2 linked regions of the Chlamydomonas reinhardtii genome follow. The protein of the gene in region 1 interacts with the protein of each later gene in a pairwise test. Links are inferred from orthologs where the notes say so. Each region holds a gene or a part of one and is shown on either strand. Other genes may lie near its edges.

Evidence for each region.
Region 2: the proteins of CHLRE_09g400553v5 (region 1) and CHLRE_04g217550v5 interact in binary tests that used the Arabidopsis thaliana proteins (3 or more experiments, as listed by UniProt). The link is inferred for Chlamydomonas reinhardtii from reciprocal best matches to the Arabidopsis thaliana genes TOR and EIF3C.

Annotation. Positions count from the first base shown.
Region 1 is NC_057012.1:5,518,391-5,524,046, reverse strand, and holds the start of CHLRE_09g400553v5 (uncharacterized protein), read right to left. Parts: upstream 3,305-5,656; 5' UTR 2,921-3,304; coding exon 2,682-2,920; intron 2,487-2,681; coding exon 2,426-2,486; intron 2,263-2,425; coding exon 2,101-2,262; intron 1,922-2,100; coding exon 1,718-1,921; intron 1,547-1,717; coding exon 1,353-1,546; intron 1,053-1,352; coding exon 931-1,052; intron 691-930; coding exon 568-690; intron 179-567; coding exon 1-178. Other genes in the region: CHLRE_09g400516v5 (uncharacterized protein), read left to right, coding at 4,329-4,583, 4,927-5,088, 5,439-5,585. UniProt on the Arabidopsis thaliana protein: Essential cell growth regulator that controls development from early embryo to seed production. Controls plant growth in environmental stress conditions. Acts through the phosphorylation of downstream effectors that are recruited by the binding partner RAPTOR.
Region 2 is NC_057007.1:242,886-248,625, reverse strand, and holds the start of CHLRE_04g217550v5 (uncharacterized protein), read right to left. Parts: upstream 3,476-5,740; 5' UTR 3,279-3,475; coding exon 3,276-3,278; intron 3,210-3,275; coding exon 3,025-3,209; intron 2,943-3,024; coding exon 2,834-2,942; intron 2,665-2,833; coding exon 2,392-2,664; intron 2,236-2,391; coding exon 2,134-2,235; intron 1,956-2,133; coding exon 1,852-1,955; intron 514-1,851; coding exon 426-513; intron 142-425; coding exon 22-141; intron 1-21. Other genes in the region: CHLRE_04g217500v5 (uncharacterized protein), read right to left, coding at 4,511-4,809, 5,002-5,493. UniProt on the Arabidopsis thaliana protein: Component of the eukaryotic translation initiation factor 3 (eIF-3) complex, which is involved in protein synthesis of a specialized repertoire of mRNAs and, together with other initiation factors, stimulates binding of mRNA and methionyl-tRNAi to the 40S ribosome.

The DNA.
Region 1 (5,656 bases):
AGCGGGCCCAGCGCCACCGCCAGCATGCCCACGCACTGCAGGGCCTCGTAGCAGGTGGCGGGCCGCGGCCGGGCGGCGGCGCGCGCGGCGGGCGGCGCCGACAGCGCCTCCCGGATGGCGACGTAGATGGGCGACAGGCAGCCCTCGAAGCCTGTGGATTGTTTGGACGTGAGAGTGTCTGGAGGGCCGGCGTGCGTTGCGTTAGGGTGGCGCGGGCGTCGGGCCCACGGATGGCCTGGGCGATGTGGTGTAACAAAGGCGCAGGTGCAGGCACAGATACAGGTGCCAGCGTGCCACTACCGTAGTTTGGTGTCCCATCGCCCCGCTTCCCTCCATCAGCATCCCTTCGCCCCGCCCATGCCCCTACGCCTGCCCTTTTACCCCGCCAACCAACCCCGCACCCCATCCCCCAAGTTTCGTGGACGGCTATCAACCTCCATTCAGCAACACCCCCCTTTGCCGGCCCCTGTCCAACAAGCACCAGCAACGCCCGCCCCCTGCAGTTTCTTCTTCCTCTCTCAATGCCCCTCGCTCCCCTCTTCTTCCTCATCTCCTAGCGCCCCTCACCCGCCGCGCAGTTGACCCGCGCCAGGGCCGCCGCCATGTCCGCCAGCGCCGCGAACGCCGCGCCGCGCTCGGGCGGGTTCTTCAGCACGATCAGCAGGAAGGCAATGGCGCGAGCCAGGTACTCTGTGGGGTTTGAGGAGGGGAGCAGGGCATGAGCAGAGGGGGTTGCAGGGCATGAGCAGAGGGGGGGACAGCAAGGCGGGTGCGTTCAGTCGTCTGCGCAGCGGCGTTCTAGCCCGTAGCTCAGACTCAAGCCCTGCGCACCAAGACCCGGCCCAGCCCGCCCCACGCACCGTGCCTCATCCCAAGCCTGCTGATCCAGGTCCAAACCACACGCCGACTTGCCCCCCCCCCTCCCCTCACCCGACGCAAAGCGCTCCGGCGAGAAGGCCGCCATGCGCGGCAGCAGGTGGATGACCGCCCGGCGGATGTTTTTCTCCTTGCTGTCCTTGTAGCGGAACACGTTCTCCACAACCTCCTTGTAGCTGAGGGAGCGAGGTGACGGGGGAGGGTAGCATGAATTCAGGACCGGCAACCGGCTTCTGTGCTCCCGGCCCTGACCCATACAGCGCCGCAGGCGCAGCATACCCAGACCTACTACTGGGCGACACCTGCGCCCTGGGCCACGCCGGGGACGCCGGTAACATCGGTGGCACCGGGAGCTATCCCACGGCAGCCTACTACTTCTCCCCGACGCCCAGGCCTGAAACGCCGGAAGCCGTCCATGCAGGGACGGAGTGGTTGCACTGCGTTAGTGCAGCCGGATTAGCCGCAGCTCCACTCACCGCGCCAGCATGAATTCGCCGGTGTGCTGTAGCAGCTCCGCCAGCGCCAGCAGCGAGCCGTGGATGGACTCGGGCGAGGGAAGCGCGCCGGTGCGGTGGTCGCGCTTCATGCCGCGCATGGTCTGCTCGTGCAGCTTGTAGTACCACTGCACGCGGTAGCGCGTCTCGCGCTTCTCCACCAGGCACAGGCAAGCCTGCGGCAGGTGTACAGAAGGCGTGTCGAGCAGTGCAAGAAAACACAACTCAACGCAGGCATAGCTATGATGGCCTTCGCCCCGTCCATTATGCTGAAGCCATTCCCGCATATTCTGACAGCCCTGCCAACCCCAGCACGCGTCCTGCATCCAGCCCGCAGCGCGCCGCACCTTGAGCGCCCGCACCGCCGCCTCGCGGATATGCTGCTTGGCGTCGCGCAGCGGGAACCACACCGCGTCAATGAACGACTTGACGTGCACGTTGAACACGGCGGGCGCGGACTCCGCCGCCTCCGTCAGCACCAGCAGCGCAGTCAGCCGCCGCGACTCATTGGGCTCATTGCGGGGGTCGCACCAGGCAAGCGAGCGGCGGATCTGGGTTGAGGGATGGGCCAGCCACGGGGCGCGCCGTGTAAGTTTGTAAGCATGTCTTTCCCCAGCGTGCACATGAACGCACCTCCCTTCCACTTCCCAGGCGTCACTCCACATCTAAGCCCACCCCACGCCATGTGTCGAAAGCATCGCAGCCCCATCGCCGCCGCCGCGCCCCTCACCTCCTTCTCCACGATGTCCGACGTCATGGCGCCGCCGCTGCGCACCAGGTGTCCCAGCGTGTGCGAGGCCGACTCGCTGAGCACCGGGTCCTCGCTCTCCTCCAGCACCCGCGACAGCAGCCCCGACAGCCGCGCCGTCTTGGCAGCGTCGTCTCCAGAGAGCTGCAGGTGTTAAGTACGATATGATTCAATGGACCAAGAATGTACAGAACTTTGTTGGCATTATATCCGGTGGTTGGTGTGCCGTTAGGAAATGGTACGTCCGCACGGGTGTGCCTGCGCGCAGCAACGTCTCCGGTTGCTGCAGCCTAGCAGGCTGACTTACCTTGACATCGATAAGCTCGTCAATCGCCAGCACGCCACCCATGCGCCGCGTGATGTCGTTCCTGTGCAAGCGCCGGCAAAGGAGAAGTCAACGCTTCGTCCGTGTTTGGCGTGCTGACCCGCAGCCTTGTTCCCCACAGCTGCTTTACCCCCCTTCCAGGGTCCGGGGCCCCAGGGCTAGCCCCCTGAGGACTCCTCTTGCAGGCCACGCATGACACCACCTGCCCATGCCCCAAACGAGAGCCAGGCGCCCTCACCCTTTGAGCAGCATGTTGCCGATGCGCTGATACACGTCGGTCATTAGCCGCCCAAAAGCCTCCACCGACAGGTCCCGAGCCTCCGCCTCGATGTACTCCAATAATGCTTTGTCACCATCCTTGTGGCGCCGCTCCCATGCGCCAGAACGGCACAGCTCCTCCAGGTGCCGCGAGAGCGTGTCGCCACCGGCCTTGAAAGCCGGTTTGGTGGGCACCGGACCCACTCCCGACAGCATCATATTTGCGATGCTGCTGCTAAGCTGCTGAGAACATTCCGCAAGCAGGTACAAGTGCTAAGAGTAAAGAGCAAGGGTTCTGCTGCACCGGGTTTCGCGCTCCTGCCTCGGTGTAGCCGTGAACCCGTAATTGTACTCTGGTAGATAAGTTAATACACCACAGCAGCAAAGCGAAGGCCCTGCCGTTTGCGGGTTGTTGCGGGGGGCTGGATTTGTCGCCCCCTCGCCGGTACGCTGCGGAAAGACCTGAGTCTTTGCCCTAATGTCAAGAGCAGCAAATTAAAGACGTGCCTAAGCTACAAACAAGCTCTGCACTTGCGCACGGCGCCCACCGAACGCTAGTCGGTTTTGCCTGCGAGTGGCGCCGACATGCTACATTTACTAAGATACATCAATCTACAGTTACAAAGTCAGCAATGGCGGGTGCACGCGAGGAGGGAGACTAGCGCGACTCCTCACGTGTGCATTGGCACGCCACGCCCTGGCGCCCCCTCTGGCGCCTGGCCCACGAGTCCGCCCAACTGCAGGGCGTCCAGGCAGACCATTTCTCATACAGCCTGAAAACAGCTGCATCTACCGGGCTTCTGCCGCCCCCAAGTTGAATGGCGGCTCGCCATGGTCCATGGACCTTGGGGGCTTGGGGCCCCTTCACCGCTCCTTCGCTCATCGGCTTGCAGCGGGTCTTCATGAACGGGACATAGGGCCGTGCTCCCCAATCCCATTCCTTGGATGTAGCTACAGCATTGTGACTATGCGCAGCCATCAGTCCTCTTCAGTGAAATACCCAAGCCACCCACGGAGCCACCGCGTTTCTCCAACGCGGGTGCCAGTGTTGGCCCCCCAAGGCACGCAAGCATCCGAAAGCCGAGCCTGAAGCAGGGCTGCCTGCAGGGCATCCGGAGCCCCTCATGAAGCAGCCCGGCCCATATTCATGGTGGGCAGCGTGCACGAGGGCCGATAACACTGGGCACACAAGCAAGGCCATCGGCGCCTACGCGGGCATTCGCAGGCATTGAAGGGCGGTGTCACACAGGCTGCAGGGCAGAGACCGTCACCGCAGCGAGGCAAATTGAAGCTGTTTACAGCCATTGAACTGCCAAATGGGGTCGCCGGGATGGCGCCCGGTCACCCTTGTGGAAGGCGGGGGCATTCAGGGGAGAGATGACGCGCCCTGCCATGCGCTGGCACTGCGGCGGCACTGACACCCGCGGCACGCTTTCTTCGACTTCTTCTGCAAGTGTAACATCATAAAACTACGTTGGATACCTGTCAAATAACTAACAAAGCCTTGGGACCTGCAACGAGCGCCAACGCGCGGGAACTGTCAGCAGCCTTTCCTCAACACAAGCGCTGTGTCGCTGTACGTACAATAAACTGGCCATAGTATAAGGCTGATCAAAGCGGTCCTGACATGGAGGTGACGGGCGCACTCGGCGTTCGGCCGGACCGGCTGCAACTTGATAAGCTTTCATCGCTTGGGAAATGGATTTTTGAAACTGGCACGAAGCACAACTTCATTAATAAGACGCTTACCGCGTTGGACGTGGAGCCCGAGCCCGATGTGGAGTACCTGCTGGGCGATCGTTATCTGGACTTCTCGCTTTGCCTGGTTTTTGCGTTTGCATTCCCCTTCATCCGGGCAATCCTGCGCAAGTATGTGTACGAGGTGCGTGGCGACCCCGGAGCGAGGGGGCGGCGGGGCAGGGGCGCGGGGGAAGGGAGCTCCTTCTCCTGCTGTCTTCTGACACGGACACGGAGAAGTCGCAGAGCTCATCGAAGCATCCGGCAGTCCTCGCCACCGCTCATAGGCTTGGGGCTAAGGAGTGTCTGGCATCGGTGGCGCACAGTGTGGGGAAACTAACATAAATGGTATTGCCTGCCCGTCCCGGCCATGTCCCACACCCACCAGACCATGCCCCCCCTACAACACCACCTAGCTCTGCTCTCCTGCGCCCAACCCAAATCACCAATCCTCCCCCTCACCCTCACTGTCACCTCACGCGCAACAGCCATGGGGCCGGTACGCGATGGGCTTTGGTGACCCCAAGAAGACCGACAAGCGCATGGACGAGGCGGCGCAGGCCAAGATGCGCAAGTGGTGCGAGAGCTGCTGGAAGATGACCATCTACATTGCCTTCACCACACTGGCGCTGGTCGTGTGCTGGGGCGAGGTGAGCGCGTGTCGGGTTGGCGGGGCGGTGTGTGGGGGTTGGGTTGGGGGATGGGGGTGGCGTGGCTTGGCGAGTTGGCGAGACTGTTGGTGTAGGGGTCGCGTCTGAGGGCTTGGGCACCGAGAGGACGCTTAGAAAGAGGCGCGATGATGTAGGTTGATGATGTAGGTTGGCTGCTTTTGAGGAACAATGGGTAACCCGAGGCGAGGCAGTCCAAGCAGGCTTCAGCAAGGCGTCCATAAGCCTTCGCCAACACGTCTCAACCTCTTGAACACCTAGCAACACACCCCGCTCATGCACGATTGTTCCACCCCCATGCGTTTTGTGCTATTCTCCTTTCCTGTGCCCAGGTGTGGTTCACGGACAGCCGCTACTGGTGGCTGGGCTGCACTCGCTTCCCGCCCTGCAACCTGCCGGTCAGCCGCGGGCTGCTGCTGTTCTACTGCGCCGAGACCGGCTTCTACCTGCAGGCCATCCACTTCCTCACCTTCCACGAGGTGGGGCACAGAGCGGAGAAGGGCGGTCGGTGGAGGTGGGAATTACGGTACTCGGAAGCTGGGCTCCAGAT
Region 2 (5,740 bases), on another chromosome or scaffold:
CTGCCCCCCACGCCCCCCCACCTGCAGGATGCGCAGCATCTCCAGCAGGTTGACCACAGCCTTGCGCCACGTGGCGGTGGGCAGGTGGCCGTGCATGCCCGGGTTCAGGTCGAACAGGCTGGCGTTCAGCTGCGCCAGGACCTGGGGACGTAGGGGGAGGGGAGCGGGTGGGGAGCGGAGCGGGCAGGGGGTGGTTGGGTGAGTGGGGCGGGGTAGGTAAGTAGCATAATAGGGGGGAGGGAGCGGATGGTGGCAGTGGCAGGAGTCGTTTATGCAAGGCGGCGCCCTGCTTTCCAACCCACCCCCCTGCCACCCCTCAAAGCGCCACGCCTTGCAACTGGGCCCCATTAAAACCACATAACAAACAAACGGCAACCACATGCCCTCCTCCCTCCACTCCTCCCATTCGCTTTCACCACCCTCACCTCGAACTTCTGCGCCGCGCCGCGCGCCACGGTGGCCAGGTAGGTCAGCATCTCCACCGCCTCCTGCTTGTCGGTGCCGCGGCGGCCCCTGAGGTGGGGTAGGAACAAGGTGCGTGCGTTGGTGTGTGTGTGGGGTTACATTCATGATTAGTTAAGGAAGTGGGGGGATGTGGCGGGGATGTGTGACGAGTGCGTGATGAGTGCCACGGGTGCCCGCTGTGAACAGGCCGGTACGTCAGCACAGCCGGAACCAGCGCCGCGCCGCCCAGACCGCCGCGAGAAAGCCACGGCACACGCGCCAGCGACGCTGCCAGCCGCCGACCGCGCTTCGACTGCTGCAACTGCTACTGCTATCCCTGCTGCTGATGTTACTGCTGCTGCAGGGAACGTGTCCGCAACAGCTGCCGCCGCCCCCCTCTGTCACTGCCAGCACTGCCAGCAACGCTGCAGCCGGCAGTCGCCGCTGCCGCGACGCCGCCGCGACGCCGCCGCGACGCCGCCGCGTGCCGAGCCGCGCGCCAGGGGAGCCGCCCGCCTCCTCCATAAATGCCCGCCCCCCTCTTCCCGCTGGACCGACGGACTGTGCGGCGGGAGCGGCCGGGCCTGCCCCGCCCCCCTGCAGCTGCGCCTGGCTCCTTGTCCAGTGCGTCCACTGCTACTCCAGCGCCGCCATGCAGTGCCCCTGCCTGTCTGCTGCTGCTGTGGCGGCGGCTGCGGAGGCGGCGGCGCTGCAGGCGGCGGCTTGCAGTCCAGCACCTCCCTCCCTTCCTCCCGGCACTGTAGGTGGAGGCGCCGCCGCAGCCGCTGTGGCGGAGGGCCAGGCCGTAGCAGCAACAGCTGCTGCTGCACCGTAGCGCACCTTGCCGCGCAGGCGGGCATGCCAGCGCGCCAGCCCACGCCAAGCCATACGCCGCCGTGCCAGCCGCGCCACTGCCGCCGCTGGTGCGCCCGGTGCTCTCCCGCCCCCCAAGTCCCTCCTGCCGCCAGCGCGGCGCCGCCCGCCGCTGCCTGGCAGCGGCGCCGCCACAGCCGCAGCACACAGCCACGGTGGCAATCGGGCGCCTCCGTAACCCCCAGCCATAACCCCTGGCCAAAGCCCCCTCCGCGAGCCGCGTCGCAGTAGAGCCCGCCCTCAGCTTGCAGTCACACAATGCGGCAATACCGTCGCTGCTGTTGCTGCTGCTGCTGCTGGCGCCATTGCTGCCGTTGCTGCTGCCGCTGCCGCTGACGCAGCTCCCGCTGCCGCTGCTGCTGTGCAAGCGGGTAGCTCTCCGCGCTCCTTCGCCGTCAGCTGATGGGATCCCAGCGTTGCCACCAATCTCGGAGCTCCACGTCTCTGCCAGCCCGTACGTGCCGCCGTTCCCCGTCCCGCCTACGCCCTCCCCCTCCTCCGCCCAGCCCGCCCTCCCCCGTCCGCCTCCTCTACCTGGCCATGACGATCTCCCTCATCTTGCGCGCCACCATCTCGTAGGTGATCTCCTTGGGGTCCATGGTCAGCAGCTTGTCCTTGGCCTTGGCGGCCAGGGCGCCCTATTGTTATGGAAGGCCAGGGTTGCGTATGGAGGGGGAGCGCGTGGGGGTTAGCAGTAGCGGGGGGAAGGGTTCCAGGCATATGGTTAGTCAGACGATGGCAGTGACGAACAGAGTAGCAGTTGGCAGCACATGTCCAGGCAGACACACGGTACACGAAACACAAATGCAAGCGCACCTGCTTGCGCTCCTCGGCGTCGCGCTCGTCGTCGCTGCCGCTCTCGCTGCTGCTGCTGTCCGCCTCCGACACCTCGTCCTCCTCGTCGGGGTTCTCGCGGACCTGTGGCATGCGCAGGCGTTTCGCAGCATTTAATGGGGTGTTGCAGAGTCTGAGGCACGCATCCTCCTCCCGCACACGGTGGCCCGGACCCCCGCAGCCCGCTGCCGCTCTGCGTGCGCTTCCCCCCTATCTTTCCATTGCTGACCCCCGGCCGACCTTGTTGAGCTGCTCCAGCAGGGGCGTGTTGTGCTTCTTCAGGCGCTGCTTCATGGTGTTCAGCGCCTTCGCGTTCGTGGACGACATCTTCTTCTTCACCAGCTCCTTGTTCGCCAGAGTATCATTCAGGTAATCCTCCAGGTCAACCAGCAGCTTCAGGTACACGCGCGGCAGCATCGGCCCAGACAGGAACTTGCGCGTCTTGTCAAGGCGCGCGTTCAGCGTGTCGAACAGCTCCTGGATAGCGCTCCAGTCGTTGATCTTCATCTTGTTCTGTAAATACACAATAGGAATGCAGCCGCAGCGTGATAGACGCTCAGAACGCCGGTTTTCGCGCAAAAAAGCCTTGCCGCATCTCTCCCGCCACACCGTCGATCGTTCCCCGGCGCCCCGTGGCCACCCCATCGCTCTGCACATTTCCAGTCGAAGCTCCAGGCCTCACCCGGATGTCCTCAGCGGTTTGCGCGAGCTCGCCCATGCGCTTGTCCTTCTCGCTCTTCACCACGCGGCGATCATTGTCCGAATCCGAGTCGCTGGACCCAGCCAAGAACCTGAAATCATAGCATAAACACAAAAACGGTGAGCGCTGGGCGATGCACGCGCAGGGCACCTCGGCGGCTGCGATGTGCTCACTTGTTGGGCCCGTCGTCGTCGGAGTCGGAGTCCGAGTCCGAGTCGGAGTCAGAGTCCGAGTCGCTGTCAGAGTCCGACGAGGAGCTGTCGCCGGAGGAGGAGCTCTTGCCCTCCTCCTCGCTGCTCTCCTCCTCAGTGGTCTCCTCCTCCTCATCCTCGCTCTCGCCGCGGCCCCAGAACTTAGACTGCAGAGAAAAAGAAACTCCAGATCAGCAAAAGGCAGCGCCGAGGGGAAGAGCGAAACGTCCTACCATTTTTCGATCTAGTCGGCGGCGCGAAAAGAGACTGTTGTGATAAATGCAAGTGCGGACTTTGCCGCAAATGTATCCTAACAAGTAGGAAAGGACGGGTGCCGGTTCAGGGGAAGCGGCTTCTGGTGGAGGGGCTGCGATGCAGCGCGCGCGGAATGATGGTCTGTCTGCTCCCTGAGCCCTGGGCTGCTACAGACTGCACAGAAACCACTGCTAGTTAATTCAATTATGTGCGTGTTAAATGCACCAAGGTCGTCCTGGCACGGTGGCACGCCTCCCCTGCGCCTGCCCGGTGGCAACCTCCATCGCCCCCACCACACCCCTGCCACCCTCAGCACAGTAAGCAGCGCGAGGACGACACTCCACTGCAGCTGCTGTTATCTTCGCTCTCCGCTGCACCTCGCAGCCCGCCAGCCCGGCTGGGCGTTCGGCTGCGCGTTCGGCTGCCTTCGCCGCTGCCTTCGCCGCGTGCGTTGGCCCCAGGTCTGACTTCATCATCTGCTGCGCTGTGGCCCACTGCGGCGCGACTCGTTGTTCTGCGAGCGCTGCCGCCAGCATTCCTATGCCCCGGCCGTGCTACTTATGCTTGCACCACCTTCGTCATTTCCTCCCGTCGCAACAGCGCCGCCTGCAGGAGGAACAGCGAGGCTGCGAGGAACAGCGAGGAAGGCCTGCTGTGTCCGCCCACCCGCCACTGCTGGTGACCCGATGTGGGGGTCCCTACAATCCCCGGCCCAGGGACCCCGAACGCCGAGGGCTCCAAGCGTCGCCCCATACAACCACGAGGCCACGAGGCTAAAAGGGCGCCCCCCCCCCTGCACACGGTGCGTGGCTCTCTGTCAAGAAGGAAGAGGCACGAGCAGTGCAGGGCAGCGGGCGTGGCAGCGGCGGCGGCGATGACGACAGGTCTCTCGGGGCAGTGACATGCCTGGATTTGGTACTTCGTACCGCATTACGCAATACGCATGTACTCATGTTGCCGGCTTCCGGCGTGCCGCAATCACGGAAAGCACACAGCGCCCACACACCACTGACAGCACCTCTCTGGACTGCCCAGCCGACCCGCCGTCAGCTGCCCCGCCCCCTGAGGCTCCTCAGCTCCTGCCTTTGCCACGTGTTCTCTTGTTGCTTTGTCCTCATGCCTCATGAGCACAGCCCCCTTCCCCTCCGTCCAGAAGCCACCACACAAACGCTGCCATGGGTACCGTGCCCTCCAATCCCAGCCTCCTGCGTCGTCACTCCACGCCCGCCGCCGCCAACACCAACCGTGTCACCGCCCCCACATCCAGACGGCTCGCCACCGCCACCAGCGCCCCTTCCTCCCCCTCCCTCCTCACTGCCCCGGCTGCTTCCCCTCTCCGACCGCCGCCCACGCTAGCCGCCGCCGTTGATGCGGCCGCTGCCGCCGCCTCCGCCACCGCCACCGCCACCGCCACCGGCCCCGCCACCGCCACCGCCACCGCCACCGGCCCCGCCACCGCCACCGGCCCCGCCACCGCCACCGGCCGCAGCAGGCTCATGCCCCGCCGCTCGCCTGTGGGAGTGTGGGTGTGTGACCAGGGCAGGAGCGCGTTGAGCCGGACAGACAGTAACTACTGACGTGGATTCGCAGTTGGGCACACAACCGTTCAGGTCTTTGAGCCACAACCCGCAGCAGGCATGCGCGTGTTGCCCTCCATTGTGCTCTTTTCGCCCGGTCCATCAAGCTGATAACTGTCAGGCGCACCTTGCAGAACAACGCTGCACCGCGCCGGCCGCCACTCCAGCACCACAGCCGACGCCGTGGGACCCGCCGCCGCCGCCGCCGCCTCGTCGCCGGCATCAACCCCAGCACCCCCGCGGCTCCGCACCGCCCCCTGCCCTGGCCCATCGCACCCGACCCCGGCGGCCTCTGGTGCGCCCAGCTCCGGCCCCGTCCCGAACTCAAACCCGGTATCCTCCGGCCCGCCCAGCCGCGGCGCGACCAGCTCCGGCCCCGTCCCGAACCCGCCCAGGCCCAGCGCTATGGCAGTGGCCAATGGGTCGCCTAGCAGCATCCCCCCGACAGCAGCAGCCGGGGCAGGGGCCGGAGCAGCGGCGTCGGGGTCGTGGTTGGGGCCGGGGTGGGCCGGGTCGGGAGCCGGGGCCGGGGCCGGAGCCGGGGCGGGGTCGGGGTGGGCGGGGTCGGGGGCCGGGGGCGACTTTGCCCGCCAGTCCGCCAGGAAGGGGCGGAGCACGCCTGGGGTTGGGCGTCGGTGTGGGCGTCAGTGCCTTGGAGTGCGTGTGTGTGGATGTGACACGCACGCCCCGCGCGGCGCGGGTTGGGGACAACTATGAGAGGTGCTGGATGTCCCATACCATGGCACGGGATCGGGATCGGGTGCGCATGCGACGTGTCGATTACCAGGCCGTGACCACAGCCGCAGGGTTGCGGGGTTGTAGATACCAGCTCAAACTAAACCAAACGCAATGCAATAGAGCGAGGA